2 linked regions of the Notamacropus eugenii genome follow. The protein of the gene in region 1 purifies or fractionates together with the protein of each later gene. This does not show direct contact. Links are inferred from orthologs where the notes say so. Each region holds a gene or a part of one and is shown in the gene's direction. Other genes may lie near its edges.

What was found.
Region 2: the proteins of DERL1 (region 1) and alpha-1-antiproteinase-like purify together in Homo sapiens (affinity purification with western blotting; 4 studies listed by BioGRID). This does not show direct contact. The link is inferred for Notamacropus eugenii from reciprocal best matches to the Homo sapiens genes DERL1 and SERPINA1.

The regions. Positions count from the first base shown.
Region 1 is NC_092875.1:121,380,258-121,390,283, forward strand, and holds the start of DERL1 (derlin-1), read left to right. Parts: upstream 1-5,935; 5' UTR 5,936-6,223; coding exon 6,224-6,376; intron 6,377-6,382; exon of another isoform or gene 6,383-10,026. UniProt on the Homo sapiens protein: Functional component of endoplasmic reticulum-associated degradation (ERAD) for misfolded lumenal proteins. Forms homotetramers which encircle a large channel traversing the endoplasmic reticulum (ER) membrane.
Region 2 is NC_092872.1:364,861,064-364,871,813, forward strand, and holds the start of alpha-1-antiproteinase-like, read left to right. Parts: upstream 1-6,684; 5' UTR 6,685-6,823; intron 6,824-10,670; 5' UTR 10,671-10,671; coding exon 10,672-10,750.

The DNA.
Region 1 (10,026 bases):
TTTGCTCATATAGCACAGTAGCCTTTTTGATGTGGGCATGCCATGCTGAGCAGTCCTGTGCCAGTGTCTCCCATGTTGCACAGTCAAATCCAAAGTTCTTGAGAAAGACCTTGAAAGTGTCCTTGTATTGCTTCTGACCACCATGAGATCGCCTGCCCCATATGAGTTCTCCATAAAATAGTCTTTTTGGCAAGCGTATATTTTGCATTTGAACAATGTGACCAGCCCATTGGAATTACGCTGTCTGAAGCATAGTTTGAATGCTTGGCAGTTCAGCTTTAGCATGGACTTCAGTGTCTGGTACCTTATCCTGCTAGGTGATCCTCAGAATCTTCCTAAGACAGTTCAAATGGAAGCAAGTGAGGTTCCTGGCATGGCGCTGGTAGACTGTCCATGTTTCACAAGCATATACCCATGAGGTCAAGACAACGGCTCTGTAGACCTTCAGTTTGGTAGTCAGTCTAATACCTCTTTTTTCCCAAACTTTTCTTCGGAGCCTCTCAAACACTGAGCTAGCTCTGGTAATGTGTGCATCAACTTCATTGTCAATGTGTACCTCCCTGGAAAGTATACTACCAAGGTAAGTGAACTTATCCACAGCATTCAAAACTTCGCCATTTGTTATAATCAATGGTTCCACATATGGATGGTGTAGTGGTGGCTGACGGAGCACCTGTGTTTTCTTGGTATTGATTATTAAGCCAAAATTAGCACAGGCAGCAGAGAATTGATCCACACTTTGTTGCATCTCAGCTTCAAAGGATGCATTGAGTGCATAACCACCTGCAAACAGAAAATCATGCACTCCCTCCACTTTGGTTTTGGCTTGTAGCCTTTTCAAATTGAAGAACTTACCATCAGTCGACCTTGATGCCTTGTTCATCCTCATTGAAAGCATTTGACAACATGGATGAAAACATCATGCTAAAAAGCATGGGAGCAAGCACACAGTCCTGTTTCACTCCATTGGTGAGTAAGAAGGCATGAGAGCTTTGTCCATTATCCAGAACCCGGGCAAACATCATCATGAAATTGATGTACAATACTGATGAACTTCTCTGGGCAGCCAAATTTTGACATAATTTCCATAAGGCCTTGGTCAGTTCTACAAATGTTGTGTGTAGACCTCTGTTCTGTTCCTGGCATTTCTCCTGGAGTTGTCAGGCAGCAACATCATATTGACTGTTCCTTGGCCCTTTCTGAAGCCACACTGGCCCTCAGGTATATGACCATCTTCCAGGTGAAGAGTCAGCCTATTAAGGAAGATTCTAGCAAGAATTTTGCCAGTAATGGCTAAGAGAGAGAGCCCACTGTGATTGTTGCAGGACAATTTATTCCCTTTACTTTTATAGAGATGGACAATGGAGGCATCTTTGAACTCCTGGGGGATAACTTCGTCTTGCCATATGATAATTTTGAATCGTTACAAAATTTAACTGTGTGCTAGAGTAAAAAAACTTGAGAAATGTAGAAAAGCAAAAAATTAAATATGTTCTTTACTAACCACAATTTAATAAAAAACTATAATCAATGAAGGGCCTTTGAAGAGTTTAAACTTTGATGGTGAAATTCAATCCTGTGGAGTTGGAGGCTCAAAGAAAAAAATCACAGAAATCATAGAAAATTCCATCAAAGAAAATGCCAACAATGGGCCAAAATACCGAAACTCCTGGGATGTAATCAAAGTAGTCCCTAGAGGAAAAATTCTATCTTTAAATATTTTCATTAAAAAAAAAAAAAAGAGAAAGAATGACCATCTCAATGAATTGGGAAAATACCTAAAAACCTTGAAGAACAACATATAAAAAAATCCCAAATAAACTCCAAAACAGACATTCAGAAAATTAAAGAAGAAATAAAATTAAAATACTACTAAATTGATAAATAAAATTAGGAGTTGTTTCTTTAAAAAAAAACAACCAAAAATAAAAAAACCAACTGACAAACCATTAGTTAATTTGACCAAGAAAGAGTAAAACCAAATAGCCATAATAAAAAATGAAAAAGAATTCATAACAGATAAATAGAAAATAGAGGAAATCATTAGAAACCATTTTACCCAATTACATGATATTACCAATAAATAAAATGGATGAACATTTCCAAAAACATAAAAGATCCAGAGTAACAAAACAAAAGGTAGAGAATTTAATAACCCAATCTCAGAAAAGTAAATTGAAAAAGCCATAAAGGAATTCCCAAGACCAGAAAAATTTACAAATAAATTATAACAAAAATTAAGGAACAACTAACTTCAATTTTTTGTAAACTATAAAAAGAGGAAAAGAAGGCATCCTACCAAACCATATTTGTCTCATATCTGCTATGAGACAAATATGGTCTTGATCACCAAACTAGAGAGAGATGTCAGAAAAGAAACTACATGTAGCCCTATGGATTACAGGGTGGTCTTTGATACCATGCTGGTTCTTCATATAAAACTATATTTTAAAGTTTGTGCACTGAGGCTCTAGGTCTTTGACCAGTAGGCAAAACCATTGCATGTTTCCACATTCAGAAACTACCCCACTGCGTGCTGCACAATGAAGGCCACACACTGAGATTGTTCTTTTTTGGCTTTGTTTTCCTTCTTTCCTTGTGAGAAGTAATAACATTTTGTTAATTGCTAAACCTGACCTTTATCTGAACTCTTCTGCATTATATTATTACCTAAACTGATTTAATGATTCGAGGTTATTTATTAACAACCTCTCTGTTTCTTGGTGTTCTCATCTGTAAAATGAAAAAGTTGGACTAGAGGACCTCTTAGGTTTCTTGATGATTTAGGGGAAAGGGAGGAAGGCCCCTTGCTCTGCTAGTTAGCTATAGTTTCCAATGCCTTCAAATTCTGGAGAAGCTGAAATCCATTCCTACAGGACTACTAGACTCTTTCAGAAAGAACCAGATCCCTTCTTGGAACCAGCAGAAAGCCTTCCCATTTCTGGAACCTTAGCTGTGTCCTAGTGACAGGATTTCATCTCCAGTTTTATTTCTTCAAAACCTCTTATCCTAGAGGAAGCTGGAGTTCAGAAAGCAATATCCTCTTAGTTTTGTACAGTCATGTGCTTCTGTAAAAGGATGCCATTGCCACTGGTGAGGACAGAGAATCCCTCTCCTGGAGGAAGAGTCCCACCCCTCCAAAGAGATACCAAGGAAAATGATGAGTAAACTCCTTACTTAGAACTTACAGACTCCGCAACTTACAGGGTTGCTTTTTAAAGACTACCAGTCTTTATACCATCAAGATCAGTCTAGCTGATTTTCAGCTGTCACCAAATTACTTGGTTGTTGTTCAGTAGGGTCCTATTCTTCATGATCCCATCTGCGTTTTCTTGGCAGAGATACTGGAATAGTTTGCCATTTCCTTCTCCATCTCATTTTACAGAGGAAGAAACAGAAGCAGCCTGGGTTAAGTGACTTCCCCAGGGTCACACAGCTATTGTTATTATTTGTCCTTCATTCTCAGAGAGGACCACTGACATCGCAAACACGATGTCTTGACTTGGGGATGAGTTGGATTTGAACGAGGCCATGCTCTCTCTTCCAGAGTCATCAGAGTCCAGATAAAAGTAGAGATGACTGGTGATGGCTCAGAATACAGTGGGTAAACCTGGCCTTTCTAAATTAAGATCTTTCCCAGGTCTCAGTTTGTCTGAGGCCACAACCATTAAATGACAAGGGCTAGGTAAGAATTGAAACCAAAGATGGGAGGGGAAGAGGTGGAGGAAGGAAAGTAGGAGGAGGAGGAGGGTCACTCCTTTCCACAAATACACACAGCTTCCATGGGAGTTGTAGCCTTAAACCTAGACCACAGTAGTGAGGCATAAGTGTAAGAAATAGGGTCACATAGCTGCACTCTATCCACTGTGCCACCTAGGAGGGTATTTATGCAATTCCTTTATACTTCATTATCTAGTTGTTTAAAAAAAAATTCTTCAATTTGATCAGAGACTCCTGTGATCCACCTCCTTCAAACTACTTATCAAAAGGATCACAAGGAAATATCAATTAGAGGCAAGAAAGTCCTGTCTTAGGCATTGCTCCATTATGTAGTAGAAATTGTCTCTTAAGCTTCTGACATTAATTATCACTGTTCTCCTTTCAACTTCTTAAGTGTACTTTACCATCGCATAACTTAATAATAACAGGTAAATACTTCTGATGATGACAAGGATATAAGAAGAATTCACTTTTAGAAAAGGCTGTTAAATTCCAGAACAAGCTACTGGAAAAGGCTGAAGAATTTTCTTTTCTGGGTAGGTAGGTAACAATAAAGATACAGTGGCAGCTGTTGATGATTACAGTGAGACAATCAGGTTGGTTTTCATAGAAACATAGGGCAGAAGAGGATTATGAAGGCATCACAAAATCCTAATGGACAGGACTAGAGTGAGGTGAGATTCTATCTTGTTTTTAAAGATACTCATCCAACAATTATTTAATGAATACTCTGGATTCAGAGGATCCAGGTTCAAATTCTACCTCTGAGTCTTAATGCCTGGGTGACTGGGCAAGTCACTTAAATCTCCCAGGGTTTCAGTTTCCTTATCTGTAAAATGAGAGGGTTGGGCTAGAAGGCCTCTAAAGTTCTATTTACCTTTGGATCTAGGATCCATTATTCTGTTAAGGTAGGGGACAAGTACATGCGATCCTTGATCTCAAGGAATGTATAATCCAATGGAATGAACAGGAAAAATTCACAAAAAGTTAAAGACTGTTTATGGAAGGAGGAAATGCTTTTGTAGTTCACCAGAATCCATCACATTTTACTGATGAAACTACTTTCTTTTCTCTGTATAATTTTTTCTTCCCCTTCTCTTTTATCTCTGACTCTTCTTCCTGACCACTGGCTATCAAGTGAAGGATAGGGGAATCATTCCTGAGATCCTATATTTTATGTGATTTAATAAGGCTTCAGATAATAATTGCTCACATTTATACAGTACCTTGCAACTACTTTTATATAGAGACAGAGCTACATATTGTTACATATACATGTATGGTAATATATGTTTACATGTAGTTATTTATAATTATGTATTTCTATATAAATATAGGTAAATTGTATAGTTTTACATGTTTGCTACTAGCTTTACATTTAGAGCTACATAGTTACATATAAATATAGGTAGATACGTTCACAACTAGCTTTACATATGCTTACTTGTAACTATATATATATAAAGATGTTATGTAGTTATGTTTGAAACTAGTTGTATACAAAGAGCTACATATAGTTGTATATACCTATATAATTACTTATAACTATATATTTACATATAAATTATTTAGTTTTATACATATAATGTTTGCAGCTTTATGTATGTAACTATATATATAAATGTCTATACCTATACATTGTTCAGTCCACTCTTCATTTGGTACTTGGTATTTTCTTGGCAAAGATACTGGAGTAGTTTGCCATTTCCTTCTCCAGCTCATTTTACAGATGAAGAAACCGAGGCAAACAGGGTGAAGTGACTTGCCCAGGGTCACACATCTTGCACGTGTCTGGGGAAGCATCTGAACTCAGGTCTCCCGGACTTCAAGACAATGCACCACTGCACCACTTAGTAAGACCAGAGACCATTTCGTCCCCACGGACTAAGAAACTGAGGCACAGAATGAGTGCTTTTCTCAGGGTCCCACTGCAAGAATCTCCTTAGTTTCAATCCGGATCTTTTCTCACCACATCACATTTTCATCTACGCAAGTTAGCCCTTTCACAAGTCGGTCCATCCAGGAGATTGGGAGGAGGGAGATGGGAGGGGAGGGGAGGGGAGGGGGAAGGGAAAGAATGCGGCCCTGCCATTGGCTGGCACATCTGACGTTGTTGCTCCAGACGACCTCTGTTCCCCGCCCCTTCTCCCTCTCGCCCCACCTCCAGTCGCCCTTCCAAGCCTTAAGGTTGCGCTTCCCCTTTAAGAGGTGGGATTTCCGGTTGCGTTGCCCCGGGAGTTGGAACGGGAAGTTTCCTTCCCGGAACACCCCGCCCGCCGCTCTCCACCTCCGAATTCGGCCCCGCCACGTCTTGGGGGCTGCACCCGCTGGTCTCCGCCTCCTGTGCCTGTCTCCGCCGCCTGCCGCGGCTTCCGCCTCCACATCTTCGCGGAGCCGGAGCCGGAGCCGGAGCCGGAGCCGGGGCCGGCCGCGGATCGCGGGGGCGGGCGGGGGGGCGGGGAGTCGGCGACGCTGCTGGTCTCCGTGAACCGGAGCTGCTAAGATGTCGGATCTCGGGGACTGGTTTAGGAGCATCCCGATCATCACGCGGTACTGGTTCGCCGGCGCCATCGTAGTACCCTTCGTCGGCAAACTCGGCCTCATCAACCCAAGCTACTTCTTACTCTGGCCTGACGCCTTCCTCTACCACTTCCAGGTATCGGCCCACCTCGGGACTGGGAAAGGGAGAAGACGAGGGGGTGGGGAAGCGCGAACTACAAATACCAGGTGACTTTGCGGCGGTTGGAGCCCGGCGGCCTCGGGTCTGGGCGCGTTTTGAATCACGGGCTTTGTAGTCCCGTGTGTGCGAACGTAGGCTTCAGAGCGTAGGGTGGGGTCAAGTCCTAGGGAATAGGATGGAGAGGTCAAAGGTTGGTCTGATTTTCTATTCCTTGAGGATTTTCGCTCTTTAACTCATTTCCTTTTCCTCTGTTCAGTAAAATAAGGCCTAAGTAATCAAAATGGATAACAGCCCAGAGAGGCAGCGTGTTGTAAAGTCTTGGGACTTAAGCACTGGAACACGTGGATTTAAATCTGGGCCACCTTGGATAATCCTAATTCATATTGGGCCTCAGTTTCCTCATCAGTGAGATGAGGAAGTTGAATTGGTTGGACCTTTGCTATCCTAAATCGTGTCAGCTTGATGACTAATCAGATCTTCCAAACACAACGCATGTTATGGGGTCATCTGCTCAGTAGTCTAGGACGTTCCTAAATTGGATTATATTCACAGGATTTAGAGTAAAGCATTAGTGAAGACTGGGTGATTTTATGAACTACGGTGTTCTTCCCTTTCTTCCTTCTCTCCCTCCTTCCAGCCCCAGAGACACAAAAGAGGAAATTAAGAGATGGTGACAATTCCCAAGGGATTGTTTCCCAGATGCCTAAAGTATCATAGTTGCCAGATGGAAGGAGGAGAGGAGGTGTAGGCTTTGGGCTTATTTGGGAGCCCGTGTCCTCACTTGGGTGAATGTGGGTGGCACTTTGTTATTTTATCTTGTCTTGTGAGTTTCTTTAGATTCAACTTAAGGTTCCATTGGAAGAAATCTTTGATAGGTGCCACTAATTTTCAAAGCAGATGTGATTACATCATGAGGGATACACAGGAGAAATCAGATTCTGATGTGGATATCAGCATTTTTGAAGAAATTCATCTGCTTTCAGGTGTTAAGACGTTTATGCACTAATATGGTGTTGTTCAGTGGTGTCCTACTCTTTAGTGACCCCATTTGGGGTTTTCTTGGCAGATACTGAAGTGGTTTGCCATTTCCTTCTCCAGCTCATTTTTAAGGTGAGGAAACGGAGACAAACAGGTACATGACTTGCCCAGGGTCACACAGCTAGTAAGTGTCTAAGGCTGAATTTGAATCCAGGAAGATGAGTCTTCCTGACTCCATGCCAGACATACTCTATCCTCTGTGCCACCTAGCTTCCTAGTTATATGGTAGAATCTTTTATTCTGTGGATTCTAATTTACTGTTGGTCACATCACATTCTCTGAAATATAATGATAACTGACATGATATAACACTTCACTCATAACTCTTGTTAGATTACATACTACAAATGTTATCCCCATTTTGTAGATGAGGAATGGGGCTCAGAGGTTAGGTAACTTGCTCCTGGTCACAGCTAGTTAATGGCATAACTGGGGTTTGAACCTAAGTTCTCTTACTCTAGTGGTGTCACATTCAAAAAGAAAGGGATTCCCTGGCAGCAGCATATTGAGACAGAAAATCACAGTTAACATTTATCTGTTTTGTATTGTGTTTATGTTCTGTTAAACATTAACCAAGTACGTTTTATTCTGGTTCAGGCCACGCTGGGGAGTTTTGCAGGCCTCAGACCATGAATTTGATACCCCTGAAATTACATCATGGTATTTCTCAACAGTAAAAATCTAATATAACACTTGCTATGTATAGTCAGTTTTCTTACCTCCAGTGTTATAAAGGCATTCCTCTCTTTTTACCTAGTGTTACCATTTCATTGTCAGCTAATGACCAAATTTGTTTCTCTTGATTTTTGCTTTAAGAATCAACAAATAGTGAATGACCACTATATATTTCTTTAGAAAGCCTGTCTTGATTCCCTAGGGCCTAGGCAGCTAATGTACTCTCTCCCAAAACTACCTCGTATTTATTTTATTTTGTATATATTTAAGATACGTACATAAGTATAGTAATATTGTTCTCCCCATTAGAATGTAAGTTTCTTGAGGACAGAGAATGTTTCACATTTGTCTTTTTTATCTCCATATCACAGCACAGTGCCTGGCACTTAGATGTGCTTACATACAGTCTATTTGTGGTTACTAAATGGCCCTTAAATTTGTAAGTTGTAGAGAGGGAGTTGAAAACTTAGATATTATGGATCTCTGGCTCTGTTCCTCTTTGCCTCCCCTTCCCCAAAACAAAAACAACTTAAAACCGATTGATTTGATGACCTAATCTTGCTCATTTTGTGCTTTTAGAGGAAAAAAGTGGTAATATGGACTCTTAAGTAGGGGATGAAATTAGGAAGGAGGTGAAGAGGAGACTTGTATGTCACATGTAAACACCTTCTCTAAACACCTTCCCTTGACTCACTTCTCCACCCTATATTCTTCCTTATCAAACATTTGGTGCAGAATTGAGTTAGTATAACCAAAGTTCATTTTTTATGTAATCCAGTGGGCCTAGGCTACTGCATGCCAGTCACTTTCAGGATGACTCCTAGTATACCGTACCCCACCTTGTCTCTCTTACTGGCTGTGTCCTTCACTCAGAAATTCTTGAAGCATGGATCAAACCATGCAGAATACCAAGAAAACCGTGGTGAGTCCATCTGTCTGTCCCCTACTTGAAGAAAAGAAGTCAGTCAGGGAGCAGAGCAAGCATTTATTGTGATCGTACTATACACCAGACTGTGCTAAGCACTAGGGTTACAAAAGAAGACCAAAAATGGTCCCTTCTCTCAAGGACCTCACAAGTCTAAGGATGGAGACAACATGCATACAACAACTATGTGGAGCCTTGATATAGACAGGATAAATTGGGAGTAATCTCAGAAGGAAGGCACTATGATGAAGGAGGACTGGGAAAGATTTCTTGTGGAAAGTGGGGCTTTAGCTAAGACTTCAAGGAAATTGGAGAAGTCAGGATGTGGAGATGAGGAGGGAGGGTGTTCAAGCCTTGGAGAACAGCCAGTGAAGATAATATGTAGAAGGCTGATGGAGTGTAGTTGAGAGGAACAGCCAGGAGCCAAGGTCACTGCATCATACAGTATATTCAGGGGAGTAAGACACTTGAAAAGTAGGAAGGGACCAGATTATGAAAGGCTTTCCTCCTAGAGGAATGCTTCCTAGCTTATTTGGTGGATCACCTGTAGAGAGTGGAGAGAGAGAGAGAGAGAGAGAGAGAGAGAGAGAGAGAGTGTGTGTGTGTGTGTGTGTGTGTGTGTGTGTATGTATGTGAGTATAGAGAGATATATTCAGATTTTAAAATCTCATCAAGGCACAACGCATATCTTGATCTGACTCTTGAAAACGAAAGTCTCACATATGTTTCCCCCACCCCACCCCCATCACCAAGGAATTTCAGAAAAATTTTATTGAGTGTCTACTCATTTGACAGATGAAGAAAGTGAGGCCTTGGAAAGTGGTCAGGGCCACTCAGTTTATTGCTGTTTCTACTTTATCATGTTTTGTATTCTCCACCCTGTTACTGTTACAGAGATGGAAGAGACCTCAGATATCCTCTAGGCAACTGGTGTCAGACTCAAGTAGAAACAGGGACCAAGTACATAAGAATCTCTGCTGGCAGCATA
Region 2 (10,750 bases), on another chromosome or scaffold:
AGAGTAGTGATACCACTACTACATTTATATCCCAAAGAGATCAAAGAAAAGGGGAAAGGCTACCTTGGGAAATGGTTATAGTATATAATGTCATGGAATACTATTTTGCATAAATGACAGGTAAAATGATTTCAGAAAAACCTGGGAAGACATATCTTGATGCAAATTATTGATGTAAATTAATTAATGCAAAACAAAGTGAGCAGAACCTGAAAAACATTGTAAACAGTAACAACAATATTGTAAGGATGATCAACTGTGAAAGGCTTAGCTATTCTGATCAATCCAATGATTACATATGATTCCAAAGGAAAATGCTAGCTACCTCCAGAGAGAAAACTGAATGCAGTTAGAAGCATAAATTTTTCCACTTTCTTCGTGTTTCTTGTTTTTATGGGTTGTTTTTTTCTTGCAACATCGCTCATACAGATATATGTTCTGTATGACTTTACATGTATAACTGATATCTCAATGGGCAGGGAAGGGAAGAGAGAGAGGGAAAGAATTTGGAACTCAACATTTTTTAAATGTTTGTTAAAAATGAATGAACACACAAACAAAACAAAGAAATAGAATGCTGTGAGGACATGGGGTGATGTGCTAGTAGAGAATATGATAGCAGAAACATCCCTGAGGATATCCCAAAGCTCAGCACATCACAAAACACCCTGCCAGAACGTGGAAGCTGGGACTAAGGGAGAACTCCTGAACTAATGAGGCCATTGCTTTGCTGAGCTTCTTGCTTCTTTATCCTGTAGAAATAGCTCCATTTTGCTCTCACTGTGATGAATAATTCTCCTTTGGGGGATATTCCAAGATTTAGTAGGGGTGGGAGAAAATGTTGAGTCCTCCATTTGTTGGTCACATGAACAGGAAGTCTGCCAAGATGATTACCTGAAGTGTATTTCTTTCTATCACACACACACACACACACACACACACACACACACACCCTATGATCTCTAGTGCCTCTATATTACATCCAGAATTAAATATAATCTTCTCTGGTATTTAAAGTTTTTCATAATCTCTTCTCTCTCTTTCTATTCTTTGTACACCTTACTTTCCTCCTTAATCTCTACAATCCACAATCCTAGTCTGTTTAAAATGTCTCAAATACTCTATTTTCTATCCCTGTGCCTTTGTACTATGCATCCCCAACACATGGAATATTCTTCCTCTTCACCTTTCCCCTTTGGTTTCCATGACTTACCCAGTCCCCCAGATGCTAAGTCCTTCCCCCTCTCAGGCTGCCTTCCATCTTCTCCTTAGGGGTCAGGGAGTGTGTGTATGTGTGTATGTGTGTGTGCAATTTACTCTGTGTGTATTGTATCTACCAAGTTATTTATATGCTCTCTCTCTCCATTAGAAGGTAAACTCCTTGAGGGCAGAGACTATTTTATTTTCTTTGCATCCTAGCACTTAGCAAAGTGCCTGGCAAGTAGACTGTGTTACATAAATGTTTATTGACTCACTTTCTGTCATATGAAAGATAGATTAGACTTGTTCAAGTTGGCTCCAAAGAGAAGAAAAAGGAGAATAGCACAGAAATTCAAACCTGAAGTAAGGAAAAAATTCTCATCAGCCAGAGTCACCCAAAAGAAGATTGGTTTCCTCCCAAGAGTTAGGGGAAGGAAGACTGGATAACTACTTGTAGAAGATGCTGTACATGGCATTCTCAGTTAAATGTGGGTTAGATTAGATGGTCCCTAAGGTTTTTGCAACTCTGAGAATCTAACTTTCTGATTCCAACCAAAGTATACCTTCATATTAGTTTGAAAGTTCTTAAAGAGTTTTGTATTTTGGAGAATTTCTTTACCACTTTGTCCTCTGCAACAGATGTTGGTATATTCACCGGAATAATTTTCATTTTAGAGGAGACAACTAAATATCGCATGAAAAGAGGTCTCTTCTTTCTTTGGGGTATAGAATAAAAGCAAATTTCCCAACTCCTTTCCTTACTTCTCCAAGGAAACCCTGAGAATTATTGGTCCATTTAACTGAAACTTCCTTCATCCATTTTGATTTGTAGCAATAATGTTGAGATTGATGTGATTCAGTTCCTCCTGATTAATTATTGGATATGACAGGCATCTGACATTCAGGGTACTTGCAGCCTATAAAAGTTTATAGATGTCCAAAAAATGTCATGACTCTTAGCAGCTCTTGTCCAGCTTCTGCCATTCAACCCTCAGCCATTTCCACAGTAGCAATGAAAGAGGGTGGGAAGGATGAGGCAGAGAGCTGAGGGCCACTTTATATTTTGCTTTGTTTTATGAGTTACCACACACAAAGAACTCACCAGTCTTTCCATTATGGTAGAACTTGCCAGAACTAATGTTCTCTTGGCATAGCCTTCAAGAATCTAGATTCCTTACATATCACAATGAAGCTTTAGGATAGGAATTCCCTCCAAAAATGGAGAAACTTTCTTAAACTGAACCCTGGAATTTTCACCAGATTTTGTTAGGTCTACCATTTGGAGCAAGCAGAGTCAATTGGTCAGTAAGTATTTGTTAAGTGCTTACTATATACTAGGCACTGTGCTGAGACCTGGGAGTATCAAGAAAAATAAAAAGACAGTCCCTGAATCAAGGGACTCAGTCTAATTGGAGAGAAAACATGCAACAGCTATGTACAAACAAGATATATGCAGGATAAATTAGAGACAATCAATAGCACTAGAGCTAGAAATGAAAAGGCTTCTTGCAAAAAGTAGAGTTTCAAAAGCAGATCATGTCTAATAACATTTTAACTGATGAAATCTAACTTGATCCTCTACCTTCAATAAGGTTTTCTCCATTGGGATCACAATCTCTATCCTTTCTTCTCATTTCAACTTACGGTCAATATTTACCTTGGATCAATACAGTTATTCCAGCTTCCCAACCTATAATCTGACAAAATAGGCCTTTGCCCATAAGTATAATATGCTTTCCTTCACCCTCTGCTCCTTTCCCCTTCACACTGGAAAGCAAAGTTTTCATCCCATGAAGGGGGAGGGAGGGAAGGGAGAGAGAAGGAAGGGAATCTCTTCTACTGCAGTCCAATAGCTGCCCTGTGATGGCCACTGAGCCCCAAGCAACTACTGGAATTAGCTTCTGTTTCTCTCTAAAGTCATCTGCAGGACAGGACACTCCCGTTCCTCCTCCTCTTATGGTGAGGCTTGTAGTGCCTTCATCAATCTGCTTCTCTTTCTCCTCTCCACCTCCTTGCTTCCCTGACTTCCTTCAAGTACCAGCTAAAATCCTACCTTCTGTGGCCTAGCCCTATCAGATATCAAATTGTATTATAAAGGACCAATCATCACAACCACTTGGTACTGGCTAAGAAATAGAGGAGTAGATGAGTGGAATAGGTTAGATACTCAAGACACAGTAGTCAATGAATATAGCAATCTACTGTTTGATAAACCCAAGGATCCCAGCTTCTGGGATAAGAACTCACTGTTTGACAAAAATTCCTGGGAAAACTGGATAACAGTGTGGTGGAAACTGGGCATAAACCAATGCCTGATACCATATACAAGAATAAAATCCAAATGGATACATGATCTAGGTATAAAGATTGATACTATAAACAAATTAGGGGAGCAAAGAATAGTGTATTTGTCAGATTATGGAGAATGGAGAAATATATGACCCAACAAGAGATAGAGGACATTATGAAGTGCAAAATGGATAATTTTGATTACATTAAATTGAAGTTTTTGCACAAACAAACCCAATGCAACCAAGATTAGAAAGGAAGCAGAAAACTGGGAAAGAATTTTTGCAACTAGTGTCTGTGATAAAGGCCTCATTTCTAAAATATATAGAGAACTGAGTCAAATGTACAAGAATACAAGTCATTCCCCAATTGATAAATGGCCAAAGGATATGAACAGGTAGTTTTCAGAAGAAGAAATAGAAGCTATTATAATCATATGAAAAAAATGCTCTAAATCACTATTGATTAGAGAGATGCAAATCAAAACAACTCTGAGGTACCACATCACACCTATCAGATTGGCTAACAGGAAAATCAGGAAGATGATAAACGTTGAAGAAGATGTGGGAGAGTTAGAACACTAATTCATTGTTGGTAGAACTGTGAGCTGATCTAATCATTCTGGAGAGCAATTTGCAACTATGCCAAAAGTTACAAAAATGTGCATACCCTTTGACCCAGCAATATCACTTCTGGAACTCTATCCCAAAGAGATCACAGAAATGGGGAAGGATCCCACATGTACAAAAACATTTATAGCAACTCTCTTTGTGGTGGCCAAGAACTGGAAATCAAGGGGATGCCCATCAATTGGAGAATGGCTGAACAAGTTATGGTATATGATACATGAATGTAATGGAATACTATTGTGCTATGAGAAACAATGAACAGGAAGACTTCAAAGAAGCCTGGAAGGTCTTATATGATCTGATGCTGAGTCAAAGGAGCAGAACCAGAAGAACTTTGTAAACAGCAACAACCACAGTGTGTGAGGAATTTTTCTGAAAGACTTAGCACTTCATTGCAATGCAAGGACTTAAAAAATTTCCAAAGGCCTCTTGAGGAAAAACACCTTCCACGTCCAGAGAAAGAACTATGAAATTGGATCACAGATAGAAGGAGACCATTTCCTTTTGTATTTTGTTTTGTTTTGTTTTATGGCTTCTCCCATTCATTTTAATTCTTCTTTGCAACATGCATTTAATAGGAATGTATGTGTAGAACCTGTAAAAGATTGTACGCCATCACAGGAAGGGAGAGGGAGGGAGGAGAAAAAAAATCTAAGATATATGGAAGCGATTGTCAAACACTGAAAACAAATAAAATAATTTAATTTTTAAAAAATAATAAATAAATAAATAAAATCCCACCTTCTAGAGGGAACTCTTTCCAGTTCCCCCCAAATCTATTAAATTTCCTCCATCAATTACCTCCAAATTATCCCATATATAGTGTGTTTGTGCATTGTTCTTTGCAAGTTCTCGTCCCATTTGACTGTGAACTCCTTGAGAGCAATGACTGTCTTTTGCCTTTCTTTGTATTAGGACAGTGTTTGGCACATGGGAAGAGATTAATAAATATTTTCATTGACAGACTACCTGGATGTTTTCCAGTTTTACTCTTAGCTTCCTAAAATGTGGTGCCCAGATCAATCCTCCAGAATTTTGACCAGAGCAGGGTACAACAATTGAAATATCAATTCCTTTGTTCTGGATATTAAGCCTCTGTTAAAGCAGCCTAAATTTACACTGCCATTAGGGGCTTTCATGTTCCACTGCTACATCATATTAAGCTTGTATCGCACTCAGGTGTCCCATGTTTCCCACAAGAAATGGTCTTTAGCCATATCTTTCTTTGTTTTCTCTTTCTGAAATTGGTTTTTTAAAAAAACCCAAGTGTAAGATTTTATATTCACATCAATTAGATTTCATCTTTAGATATGACACCTCTTTCTACCCTTTCAAGATTTCTCTGGATATCAGTTCTGTCAAGCTACTTACTGTGGAACACCTCTGTCTACTAGGAAGTTCTTTTCAAGCAAAGTTTGCGCTCATAATTTCTCACCACTACTATCCCCAATTGCTATATGGAATTACTCAGAAAAAAATATCTATTTTTTTTCTACCTCACAGCACTTCAAAGTTTTGAAGACCTGAAGTTCCTGTTAAGGTTTCAGTTAATATTCATGACACAAGACTGAAACACCCTGTGATCCCATCTCCAGACTAAAACCAGATTATCAGATCTCTGATGAGGAGCTTGTATGCAGCCTGGACAGACAGTTACCAGGAGTAAAAACTTTGTAGCAGCCCATCTCAGCTACCTCAGGATCTGTGGCTGCATCTCAGAGAAATAAGAACCTAAACTTAGCAACCTCCCTTCACACCCAATGGGGTTTTGTTGACAGAGTCCCACTCTACTTACAGGTGATATTTCTGCCTTAGGTAGGTCCACCTGCCTTTTAGGAGAGAAAATTTGCTTTGATTATGCAAAAGAGATAGGTTAAACCCCAAATGTGTGAATAAAGATAAAAGAAAAACAACAGAATTCAGGCTGAACATAATGACCAGTGTTAATTCTAACTGGTTGATTTTGAAAAGAAATGTCTCTTCTTTCTGTAAAAAAAATGAGGAATTATTACACTTTAATGTTAAATGTGATATCACTCCTAATTATTATGTTAGATATTTTTATATAACCATGTTTTTGCTTCTGTGGGTTTTCCAGTGACAGGACTATGGGGAAGGGGAAGTGATTGTTCTATCCAAAAAAAAAAAGGAAAGTGTCTCTACACCTCTATCTACATAGATTGAGGTCAGATTATGAAGCCTTTCAGTGTCACATGTTACTGAGGCATTCTCCAAAGGCCAATGAAGTCATTAGAAGTTTCTGATTTGGAGACAGGCAAAATAAAAGTAGGAATTCTTCCAGAGTGGATATGAATCTTCCCACTCCATTCACTTAAAAGTGGATTTAGATACACATGTTAGAACTTTAGGAAGATCTTGTGTCCAAAGAACATAAGTTTAAAAGACAAGAAACTTAATGTCAAAGATTTCCCTTGGATAATGAGAAGAAGAATCGTCTTGCACCCCAACTGATACTGTGAGAGAATGGCAAGAGCATGGAAAGGAACAAGATTACAAATGGACAAACAGACTTAGTCATTGTTTGTTCTGTACAAATAACCAGTTATGCTAGTTAATGTTCACTGGAAGAAGAGTCTCATCCACCCCTTTCCATAACTACTTAGCTATTTAAATAACACCCTAGGAAACAAGAGGTTCTGGGTCAGCTTCCTGGTGAGTTACTGCAGGACTCTGGAGAAGGAGAGGTAAGTAATGTATTCCCCTGTTAAAAACCTCAATCTCTGTGGTCTGCACTAGAGCTGGTGGGCTTGGAATCCTCAGGGAAGTGAGGGAGAACGGAATATACAGTGACTGAATTTCAGTTCTTTGAAAGAAAACTAGACCTTCCCAAAGAAAGGGGGAAGAAGAAGACCTATGTTCATGGTCCCTCAGAAGGAATAATCATAGCCATGGCTTTGTGACAACCAGCCAATCAAACTAGGTTTTAGCCTTTGTCAAGAAGGTCTTGAGGCAGCTTTTTAAAAAATAACAGATTATGAAGAACTTGCTTTTATTTGGCAGTCTACCATGAGAAAAAGAATGCTGAACTTGTGGTCCCAAGGTATGGTTCAAATCTTTGCTTTGACATTTGCCATGTGCCCTTGGATCATTTGCCTGACCTCTGTAGTGAAGTCTGTTTCCTTATCTATAAATGGTAATAATAATATAGACACAATATACCTTAAAAGGTTGTTGTAAAAACTCAAGTCAAACAATAAATCAAATAAATAAATCAAATCAAATTGATATAGTGCCTTACATATATTATCTCATTAAGTTTCACAACAGCTCTATAGGTAGATACTGCAGGCCTTATTGGTTGTTGTGGTTCAGTCATTTCAGGCATGCAGAACTCTTCAGGACCTCTTTTGAAATTTCCTTGTCAAAGATACTGGAGTGGTTGGTCATTTCATTCCTCAGTTCATTTTACAGATGGGGAAACTGAGGCAAACACTGACTTGCTCAGTGTCATACAACTTAGTGAGTATCTGAAGTTAGATTTGAACTCAAGAAGATAAGTCCTCCAAGCCCAGGGTCCTAACCACTGAGCCACCTACCTGCCCATGGCATTATTAGACACTCATACTATTGTGATTTCAATTGTAGGGGTTTCCCAAATGAGAAAACTTCTACCAATGTGGGTTGCCACCTTCTCTACAAAATGTCTTAAAGAGAATCTAGCCTCAAACACTTATTATCTCTACAATCATGGGTTCTTATCTCTACAAAATGAGGACAAGAATAATTGTCACTTAGTGTCATGCTTTGAAGTCCCTTTTGAAGCTGAGAATCTGTGATTCTGGTTCCGTTACTTTCAGCAATAAAAGGGACCCAACCTCCTCATTTTCTCTATGAAAGAAGGAGTGGCAGCCCCCATGACTAGAAAATAGATCTTCTGGTTCCAACATGCTTTCCACTACCTTCCTCTCTCTTTGAGACAAACAAGTTGTAGAAACAGGATATGCATTGACTTACCATTAGATGTCATTGACTGCTCTATCTTCTCAGATAAAGCAAACACAATAGGAGAAGTCATCACTATGGTTTCAACAACTTGGAAGAAGTAGGATCTAAGGTAACATGATTTGGCCTGGCAGAGATAAAAAAAGACCTTCCAGGTAGAGGGTCAATTTAAGTCACAGAATTTACATCTTTTAGAATCAGAAGAGTTTTCAGAGGGATTAATCTAATTCATAATCCTCACCAATGCCAAGGTCCCCAATATAATATACTAGATAAGTCATCAACCAGTCTCTTTTTCCAGGCCTCTAGTGAAGGGAGACTGCTTTCTCCAAAGGGAGCCCATTCCTCTTTTGGAGAGGAAAGTTTTGAAGGAAGTGTTTCCTTACCTCAAGAATAAATTTGCCTTTTTGCAATGTTCCTCCAGGTTCTTCCCTCTGGGCCAGAACAGGAAAAATAGAAATCTTCATATATGTATTATTATTAATGCATAAATCTGGAAGTTTCATTCTTCACTCAAAGAAAATATACACTGACTCAGTGTGACCTACAGAAAATACAAACTTGAATTGCAGCTATTATAAGGGGCCTGGGAGGACATACCCTATAACTTTCTCAATTTACAAATGAGGAGAGTGAAGCCCAGAGAGGCTAAGTAATTTCCCCAGAGACACAGAGAATTAATTAGAAGTCTGATAAGAAGTATCAGAGGCAGGATTAGAACCCCAATCCTGAGACTCTAATTACACTGCTCTTTCTACTGCACCAAAGCTGTAGTTCCCCTCAACTAGCTATTAAAGGTTTCAATCTCCTTTTCCAACCTTATTCACAGAATTCTCCTTTCACTTACTTTAAGTTCAATTAATCAATTAATAAGCCTGCATTAATTAAGCACCTACTGTGTGCCAGGCATTATGTCTGATAGGTTTTCCCTGACTGTCCCCACTACCACCCCAGATAAAAGTTGTCTTTCCCCAAATTTGTCACAGCAACTTGTCTGCAGAATTCCTTTCCTTACTGCATTCTGCATTGCACCATTCAATTAATAAACATATATTAAGTGCCTACTATGGGGCAACACGGTGCTCACATTTCCTCATATTTATTTGGGTATATTCTTTACTTTAGTCACAGACTTTCATACACAGTGTTTTTCTATCTATTGCCTCTATCTCTATCTCTTTATCACTTAACTCGTTATAACTGTTCAATCTCTCTTTAATCTCACCCAGTTTACTTTTCCTTACTACCACTGAAAGCTCATGGAAAATAAGAAATAGAGGGGGCTTCTTTAGGGTTAGATTTTTGCATATTTGTGTCCAAAGTTGATTGTGAAGCCTCTATGTGTGTTCGTCCTTCATTGCCAAAGACCATTCAATCAGAGAAATGATGACATGACTTTCACTTGACTTTGTTTTGAGTGAGGGAGGGCTGTGCAGGTCACCAGCCTCACTTCTCCTCCAGAGCCATCTGAGTCCAGTGACCAGATATTCATCAGGATGACTGGAGATGACCCAGGATGAGGCAAGTGGGAATAAGTGACTTACCCAAAGTCACACAGCTGTGAGTGTCAAGCATCTGAGGTGAGATTTGAACTCAGGTTCTCCTGACTCTTCCACTGGTGCTCTATCCACTGCACCACCTAGCTGCCCCAGTACGTTTGACACTCACTAGCTGTGTGACCTTGGGCAAGTCACTTAACTCTAATTGCCTCATCCTAGTCATCTCCAGTCATCCTGATGAATGTCTGGTCACTGGACTCAGATAAATCTGGAGGCGAAAGTGAGGCTGGTAGCCTGCACAGTCCTCCTTCACTCAAAAACAAAGTCAAGTGCAAATCATGTCACCATTTCTGTGATGGCATGGTCTTCTTCGGCAATGAAGGATGAACACACAGCACTGTAAGGACAAACAACCAAGACTTAAACACGGAAAGGCAATGATATGCTATTACTCTAGAGAAGGGATAAAGCACACTACTATCTCCTTACAGTCAGATGGTGGATTGTTAAAGAATACGAAGTCTCTATGAAAACATTTAATAATATTTTTATTTTATTTTATTAAATTATTAAATATTCAAATTTTTTTTTAGTAAATATAATAAAATGTGAAATTGAATTGAACTGAAGTATGACTTCAATTGGGCAACTAGTGGATACAAACCCAGGCCTGCAGTCAGGAAGACTCATCTTCCTGAATTTAAATCTGACCTCAGACACTTCACTAGTTGTGGGATCCTGGAGTCGTCACTTAATTCTGTTTGCTTCAATTCCTCCTCTGTAAAATACACTGAAGAAGGAAATGGCAAACCCCTCCAGTATCTGTCAAGAAAACCCTAAATAGAGTCACAAAGAGTCAGACACAAGTGACCCAAATGAATAACAAATTGTTGGGTTGATAAATAGGAAACATTAAAGCATTCCTAGCAAGTGGGAGGGAGACATGGAGGGGATAGATCTAGTTATTCAAATAATACCCCAGGGAGAGTATGGAGGCAATTCTAAGGAAGGCATTTTGGAAACTAGAAAGAAGTCTAAGTGATATTTGAATGCAGAGGTATTAAAACTGCGTGGCCTTGTTCTCTTATAGAATGATGGCGTTCTCTCTGAAATTTTGCCTGATTTTGGCTGGCCTGTGCAGCCTGGTTCCAGGTCACCTAGCTGAGGAGT